2 linked regions of the Oryzias latipes genome follow. The protein of the gene in region 2 interacts with the protein of the main gene of each other region in a biochemical or structural test. Links are inferred from orthologs where the notes say so. Each region holds a gene or a part of one and is shown on either strand. Other genes may lie near its edges.

Region 1 (3,651 bases), on a different chromosome or scaffold from region 2:
TTTGTGTTCTGGCATCATACTGAGACTTGGGTTTTACGGAACCATCGACAACATCTCCTGAGGGCAAGTCTGGCATCTCATTAGATGCTGATTCTTGCTGAGACATGAAAGTTTTGTCGTCTGTGAGACTTCTCAGTGGAAGATTCTTCTTTGCTCTTTGTGAGTTTTTTCGTTGAAAAGAGGGACTTTGTGGCATTTGTTCCTCCTCTTTCCTGCTCTCACTCGTCTTTTCTGAATCACAATCATTTAGGGCAACATGATCAGCAGGATTTTCAATGCTAAAATCTTTTAAATAATCTTTTCTCATCAGTAGTTCCTCGGATTTCTGCTGCCGTTTTTCCTGCCTGCCAGTGAACAGGCCATCATCTTCTTGGTTCTGCTTTAGGTGTCCCGGTCCATCTTTGGACTTATGCTCCGTATAAGGAAGCTGATCCAACTCTGCAATGTTTTTCGTTGTTTTGTTGTCCGTTTTGCTCACACTAGACAATGTTTGGATGCTACTGCTCACAGCAGATGGCTCCTGCTGTGCAGGCTCTTTGGCACCAACCCTTTGTCTGGGTTTAGCTGTGGGTGGTTGTTTGTCCAAAGCAACTTGCACAGACCTTTGGTCAGCTGCTGGTGTTGGATCAAAAGTCTTCTGACTCTGTGGTCGGTGTGAAGGTGCGCCTTCGGTTGATGCTTTTGCCACATTGCCATCTCCCTCTCTGAACATTCTGTTGCTGGGGGAGCCCGTTTTTCTAAATGGTGGGACTACAGATGGACTATGTCTCGTTACAGACTGGGGGGTGACATTCTGTCTGTGTTTCTGGCTGAAGTCTACACCAGAAGATGCTTGTTTTGGTGGAGCAGGAGCGGCCGCTTTTTTTGACGACACCGGTTTCGTCGTAGGCTTCTTCTCAGCAGGAGTCTCCTGTGGCATGTGGGATTTAAGACTTGATGCATATTCTTCTGGCCCATCAACACTCATTTCAGGACCCACAAGTTCAGGTCCCCTGTCCCTTTGTTTCTGGTTGACCTCAGCAACTATATGATCCCAACGAGTTTGCCCTTGTACTCCATGTCTTCTCTGAGGAAAGAGGCTTTCATAATCAGGAAGTGGTAAAGACAACTTATTTCCTCGTGGAGGTCCATCTTCTTCTACATACACTGGATTTTTGACAGGAGCCAAACTTTCCTCAGTTGGGGTCCTATGTCCAGAATATGAGGGTGGTAGGATGGCTTTTCTCCTTTGGTCTGCCATAGCAGATGATGATGATCTCCCCAATTCAACAGATGACAAATCCTCTGTACTGCCACGGGGAGAACCAGGCCGGCTTGGGCTCCTGTTTGGTGGAGCCAACAGTAGGTGTAGATTGGAGAAAGCCTCAGAGGACTCTGCTGGGACTCTAGTGAAAGTGGACTCAGACCTGACTGAGAAGGAGTCTAGCTGAACCGGAGATTGACAGTCAGGGGTTTCAGACTCCGAACTTTGAGAGAGTCTGCCAAGAAGCGAAAACAAAAGGCCTAAAGGTCAGTGTGACCACAGTCACTTCACAACATAAAACCCAATCACCAATCTAACTGTGTAAACTATGTCCATTTTTTAGCCAATATATAACTATTAAAACACTATTTGAAATAGTTTCCTTTACAAAAAGAGTAAAAAATAAATCAGTTATGCAACAGAACTAGATTCTGATCAAATCCTTTTATTTTCTAGCAAATTCTCATCTCTTCTTGTTTTACATTTCTACTGATGGGAACAGAGACATTGATAACAAGAACAACCTTACCATCATAACAGAAGTTAGAACTCAGACAAATCCACAAAAAAGAAAAAAAATATATATTTTTAAAAAGGTAGCCACGCTGAAGATCCACACACACCAACACTGTGTTTCAGTCTGTGCGAGCTCTGTTAAGCCAACAACTTGTTCCACAGCATTTACCCAGACGCGCCCAGGTTTTCAGCAGCATCTAACCAAACAGGTCGCACAGGTCTGCCGACATGTGAGAAAGTAAAAAAGCTAAAAAATGCAGAGACTGCCAAATGGCAGAGTCATTGCAGGAGAGCAAAAAACCAAACATGAAATAGCTGAGAAATGTCTTTTGTTTTTGCAGATGGTTTTGACAAGAAGCTTAGACAAATAATGCAAAAGGGCAATGTTCAGAGTAAATTCGTAGTAGGAGATTTGTGGTAGTGGGTTACTACTGTTTCCTCCAGAGGAAACCTTTGTAATGTTAGAGAAAACAGACCAAGAAAAACCAGCTGAAGTAAACCAAACCGAATGTCAGTGTCACAAAACTGACAGATTTTGTTCAGATGCATACATTTGTGTATAATGTGCTAAAGGAACTCCAGACTGGTTTCAGTTGTGGTTCCACAACAGTACAGAGCAGAGAAACCACCGTCTGCACTAACAGACGTCAACATGGTTTGTTCTGTCAGCTGTAACTGAAACTAATGGTTTATTTAGTTATTGTGCTGCCTAACCACTTTGTAATTGCATGTCTGTGCTGCAGTTTCTTAAAACACTGGAGTTTGAATCTTGTCCTTTACTTTTGGGATTAAAGTGTCTGCTGAGTGTATCATGTAGGAGTATTCAGAGGAGACAAAGACATACCTGGGTTTGACGGCTGACACTTTAGCAGTCCGGCTGAGAAAAACTGTAGCAGAGGGGGCTTGTGGGTTGCGGTTGAACTTTTGGTTAGCGGCTGAACTTTCACTGTCGACAGTTGAAGGACCAGAGGTGTCTTCAAATGGGTTAGTGGAGTGATGGGACACGGACTGAGTGGGTGCTCCTGAGTTGGTGCGAGTTGCCGGGGTGGGGTGCTGCTCCACAGGAGCTTGCTGTTGTACATCTTCCTTTTTCTCCTCTTTCTTTCGGATCATCCCGAACAAAGACGTCAGCCTATCGCTCATGGAGGCCTCCTCTTGGCGTTTGCGCTCCTCTGCTCTTCCACGCTCGTCTTCAAGCCTTTGATTTTCAGCAGCTTCCAGCACTTTTCGCTCTTCTTCTCTTCTCCTCTCCTCCTCATTTTGTTTCTTCCTCCTTGCTTCATCTTCAATGACACGGCGTCTCCTCTCCTGCTCTTCCTGCTGCTTGCGCTGCTCTTCCTCCTGGAGTTTCTTGGCCTCTGCCCTGTATTTCTCCTCTTGCTCCAGTCTTCTCACCTCAGCAAGACGCTTCTCTTCTGCCTGCCTTCTTTCTTCTGCCTCTTGGTGGCGCTGTTGCTCTAATGAAACTTTATTGATTGGTTCAGATTTGAATGCAGGGACGTTTATAGTTTTGGAGGATTCTGCAGGAATGTCAGATGTGTTTTTGCGGATGTCCTCCAGGGAGCCTTTGCCAGAGCTGTTCAGACTCAGCGTAGACCCACTCTTGGTCTTTGATTCCTCAGTGTACACGTGGTTGCCATTTATGCACAAGTTGTTTTGGTCGTTTATGTTCTGCTTGGAGCGGCCCAGAACAGAAAAAGGACCAAGAGACGTTTTACTGTCAGAGCTTCCTGATCGCTTGTGTCCCAGAAATTTGAATTTCTTTTTACCTGTGGCAGGGAAGGTAGAGAAAGGCCGTCATTGTCGAAATACAAAACAACATTTTCTTAACTCAAACAGCAGAGCAGATAAAAGTCAGAGCCGTTAGTGTACGGAACACGCCAAAAAACACA
Region 2 (3,751 bases):
AACCATAGACCTTTGGTCACTTTAGATAGTTACTCTTTAAATTCAGTCCACTTCTCTGACATCACCAAAGAAACGCCCGTCTGGCCTCATAAGCAGCTCTTAAAACAAACAGGCTAACCCAACTTTAAAGACTGGGCCAAACCTGACTGACTGCAATAAAGCCCAGAATTCTGCACAAACTGCAGGTTCGTGCAGGTGAACTGAAGCTGGTCCTGCTGCCAGGGCAGAGGTCAGCTTAACACCTCCTCATTATCCAGTCTCTTCAATATCTCTGGTTCTCCTGAAGTTTTAACGCTGCAGTCACTCCCCTGGTGCTAAGGTTACAATTACTGACCGTTTCTGTTCCAGCAGAACAGTTCAGAATTCTCTGGGTTTTGGTTGTTTTCAGCCAGAAACACCATCAGGGAGGTCAGAAGCTATCTGCCCACTTCTGCTGCTACATTTACATTTACGGTCAGCAGAGCTTCAGAGCTACGTTACGACTACAGTAAAGACCTCCAACAATCATTTACTCGCTGCCTCATTCAAAACGACGTTTCCATTTTCATCCTGGAAGGATGTCAGCAGACGGGAATGAAACAGACAGTTGAGCCGCCATCGCCCCGTCAGCCCGTCAGGCTTCATTCGTAGCGCCGTCATGCTCACAGTGCTGGACACCAAGACAAAGAATTAAACAAGCACATTCATGTCAAAATAATTCCAACCCTCTTTCCCCCAAAAGCCCAACAAGTAACCCCACACATGATCTTAAAAATTAAAATACTGAATAAAACCAAAGAACACGTATACAAGGAATACCGAAAGGTGTTTTTCATTTTCCAGTGTAAATAAATGGAAAACTTTCTATTCATTTAGCAGCCAAGGAGGCTGATGGTTCAAACTTCATCTCCTTTAACTAAACATGGCTGACATCTGGGATGTTGTGATGCGAAGTGTCGTCTCGTCAGCAATAACATTTCTGTTCAGTCCAAATACTGCACATCCGTTTTATGGAACGCCCAATCAGAGGCCGGCTTTGAAGCCCCTGGATCTACCAAAAGCTCCAAAGTCAAAGGCTGGAGTAGAACAGAATATCTGGCAGGTCGTCATGGACTGGACCCGTGTTATGAAAGTTACCTCCAAACTGTAATCCTTCACAGATTACCAGTTATTTTGTAAAAGAATGACCTGTTTCCTGACAATACTACAGCCTCAAAATGCCTTTTGTTGACTTTTATGTCACTTTCTTTGCAAGACTTGCAGACCACAACCTGTTTCACACTTGGATGGTTTAATAGTGTTGATTTTTGAACTTCATTTGATAAAAATGAAAGTGTAGCTTATCTAGTTTGAGAGAAGCAGAACCGGAGAACAATATGCTTTTGAAAGACTAAAATCAAAAACACTAATGACAGACGTTTACCAGGACACAGAAACTACACACACACACACATATGTGTGCCAAAAGAAGCCCAACAGGAAATTCAATTTAGTAAACAAGTCCGACTAAAATATTACACATAAAAACATGAAAATCAAAGTTTTAAGTGGAATTTTTCATCTATAATTGCCTTGTGCTGCTGTCATCATTACCTTTGGGTAGAGTCTGTGGTAAATCAATAACTAATGGGTAAAATGTCACAATATTAATTAATAATTCCTTGCTCTACTAGTAATAAGTTACACAATAATTACTTTTTGATTGAAGGATTTCCTTTAAACAGCTGGATGCCGTGTCCAACCATGGAAGATTACAGGGAATCGAACATCTTTCCACCTTCATGTATTCTACCGGCCGACCAGCATCACAACAACAACAGCCGCTTTACTGCTTTTATATTTTTGTGGAAAACTAAAGCAAAAGATAATAGTAGCCTTCAAAAATATACTATTGACTTTGGTTTTACACTGTCTGAATAAATGACAGACAGATTGATTCAAGTTCAATGACGGACGAGCTGGACCCGTCAGTACACTAACACACTCGGTACCGGCCCCATTTGGATCAAACGCGATAACGGTTAGGTGTGTCCCGCGCGCCTCCGGTCAGCGGGCTAGCACCGGGGGCTAACACCGGCTAACCTTAGCTAGTACTCCTCGGCAGACAAAGAGCCGCCTCCCCGGCGCTGGGTGGAGGCCGCATCACAGGCGGCATGCGCGCCGAACCCCCCCGGGAAGCCCGAAAGGGCCTGTGGCGGCACGAAGCATGAGTTCGGTTCCGTTAGCCTGTCAGCTGATCCCCGGGCCGTTAGCCCGACCGCTAAACGAAACAAACGCACCTCACCTTTGAATAAATAGTCGTATTCGTCATCCCTGGTGCCCATCGTCCTCGCGTTAATCCGAACTGCAGTTATCTTAAAGACTAAATGCGTTTCTGTCTTTCTTTTTGGGTTATTTTTTGTTTTCTTTTTTACTTTTCCGTCAGGAACTGAAGGAGAAGATCAACTTCCGCAAGTTCTTCTTCCTTCAAGCAGCGCCCCCTTCCTGGGAAAGGTGACGCCTGGCGGCGGTACAGGGAACTGCTGTTTGTTTGTTTATTTGTCTGGTTCATTTGTTTGTTTGTTTTAATTTGTTTGGGGTTTTTTAAATCTTTTTTGTTGTTGTTTTTTAAGGAAGGATCCTTTCTGAGATAAATTACTGTGTCTAAGAAGGAAAAAAATATTTTTAATTCTGCAAAATAAAAAGACAAGGAGGTGAAGTGCTTCCTTTAGTACTGGATCTCCTCGCAAGGGATAACTTGGGAAATCCATTGGAAAAATGCAGACAATAATTCCATCTCACAGCATCAAAAGTAGAGATATAATTGACTGTTTACAATCAAAATGTAGGAAGCACAAAAGAACCAAAGACAATAAGTAAATGATTTTTCTGTTGTAATAAATCATATTGCATTGATTTACTTTGAAGGTATTGTTGATTGATCCTTTTTAAGAAAAACAGCAAAAACACAAGTGACTGAACTAACATCTCTCTGCTCTTTGGTCCTTGTAGGGCTTGGTATCTCCAATGGCAACTATTGTTGGTGAAGTCAAGCTTCTTTCATCTTCGCCAACTTGCCAAGGTAAAACCTTTTTTAACAGCTGCACATTTTGAAACAGTAATCCAGGCGTTCATCACGTCCCGGCTGGATTACTGTAATTCTCTGTATGTTGGACTCAGCCAGTCGTCTCTCTCACGTCTCCAACGTGTTCAAAATGCAGCTGCCCGTCTTCTGGTTGGAGGACGTAAGAGAGACCACATCACGCCAATTTTAGCTTCGCTCCACTGGCATCCTGTGAATTTTAGAGTTCACTTTAAGATTCTTTTATTTGTTTTTAAATCTTTACATGATCTTGCCCCGCTGTACCTCTCTGAACTTCTCTCTCCCTATTCGCCGGCCTGGTGCCTCCGATCAGCTGATCAGCTGCTTCTGGAGGTACCGAGGTCCAGATGAAGCTCAGAGGGGACAGAGCTTTTTCTGTTGCTGCTCCAAAGCTTTGGAACTCTCTGCCACTGTCAGTAAGAGAAGCTCCATCACTGTCCATTTTTAAAACACGCCTGAAAACCCATTTTTATGCTCTGGCTTTTAATATGACATGAGACTTCTGTTATTGCTGTGTTGCTGTACTGGTTTTTATTGTTTTATCTCTCTATTTTTAATCTTGTGTTTTAAGATGTTTTAGTGTTTGTTTTCTTCTTTTTCTCGTGTTCAGCACTTTGTGTCGGCGGCTGTTGACTGAAAGTGCTATATAAATAAAGATGAGTTGAGTTGAGTTGAGTTGAGTTGCCATAC

What was found. The genes of interacting proteins can lie anywhere in the genome.
Region 1: the proteins of rab11a (region 2) and rab11 family-interacting protein 1 form a complex in vitro, tested with the Homo sapiens proteins (2 studies listed by BioGRID, with this or other methods). The link is inferred for Oryzias latipes from reciprocal best matches to the Homo sapiens genes RAB11A and RAB11FIP1.

The regions. Positions count from the first base shown.
Region 1 is NC_019867.2:17,228,806-17,232,456, forward strand, and holds part of rab11 family-interacting protein 1, read right to left. Parts: intron 3,529-3,651; coding exon 2,604-3,528; intron 1,479-2,603; coding exon 1-1,478. UniProt on the Homo sapiens protein: A Rab11 effector protein involved in the endosomal recycling process. Also involved in controlling membrane trafficking along the phagocytic pathway and in phagocytosis. Interaction with RAB14 may function in the process of neurite formation.
Region 2 is NC_019861.2:431,424-435,174, reverse strand, and holds the start of rab11a (ras-related protein Rab-11A), read right to left. Parts: upstream 2,466-3,751; 5' UTR 2,304-2,465; coding exon 2,264-2,303; intron 1-2,263. UniProt on the Homo sapiens protein: The small GTPases Rab are key regulators of intracellular membrane trafficking, from the formation of transport vesicles to their fusion with membranes.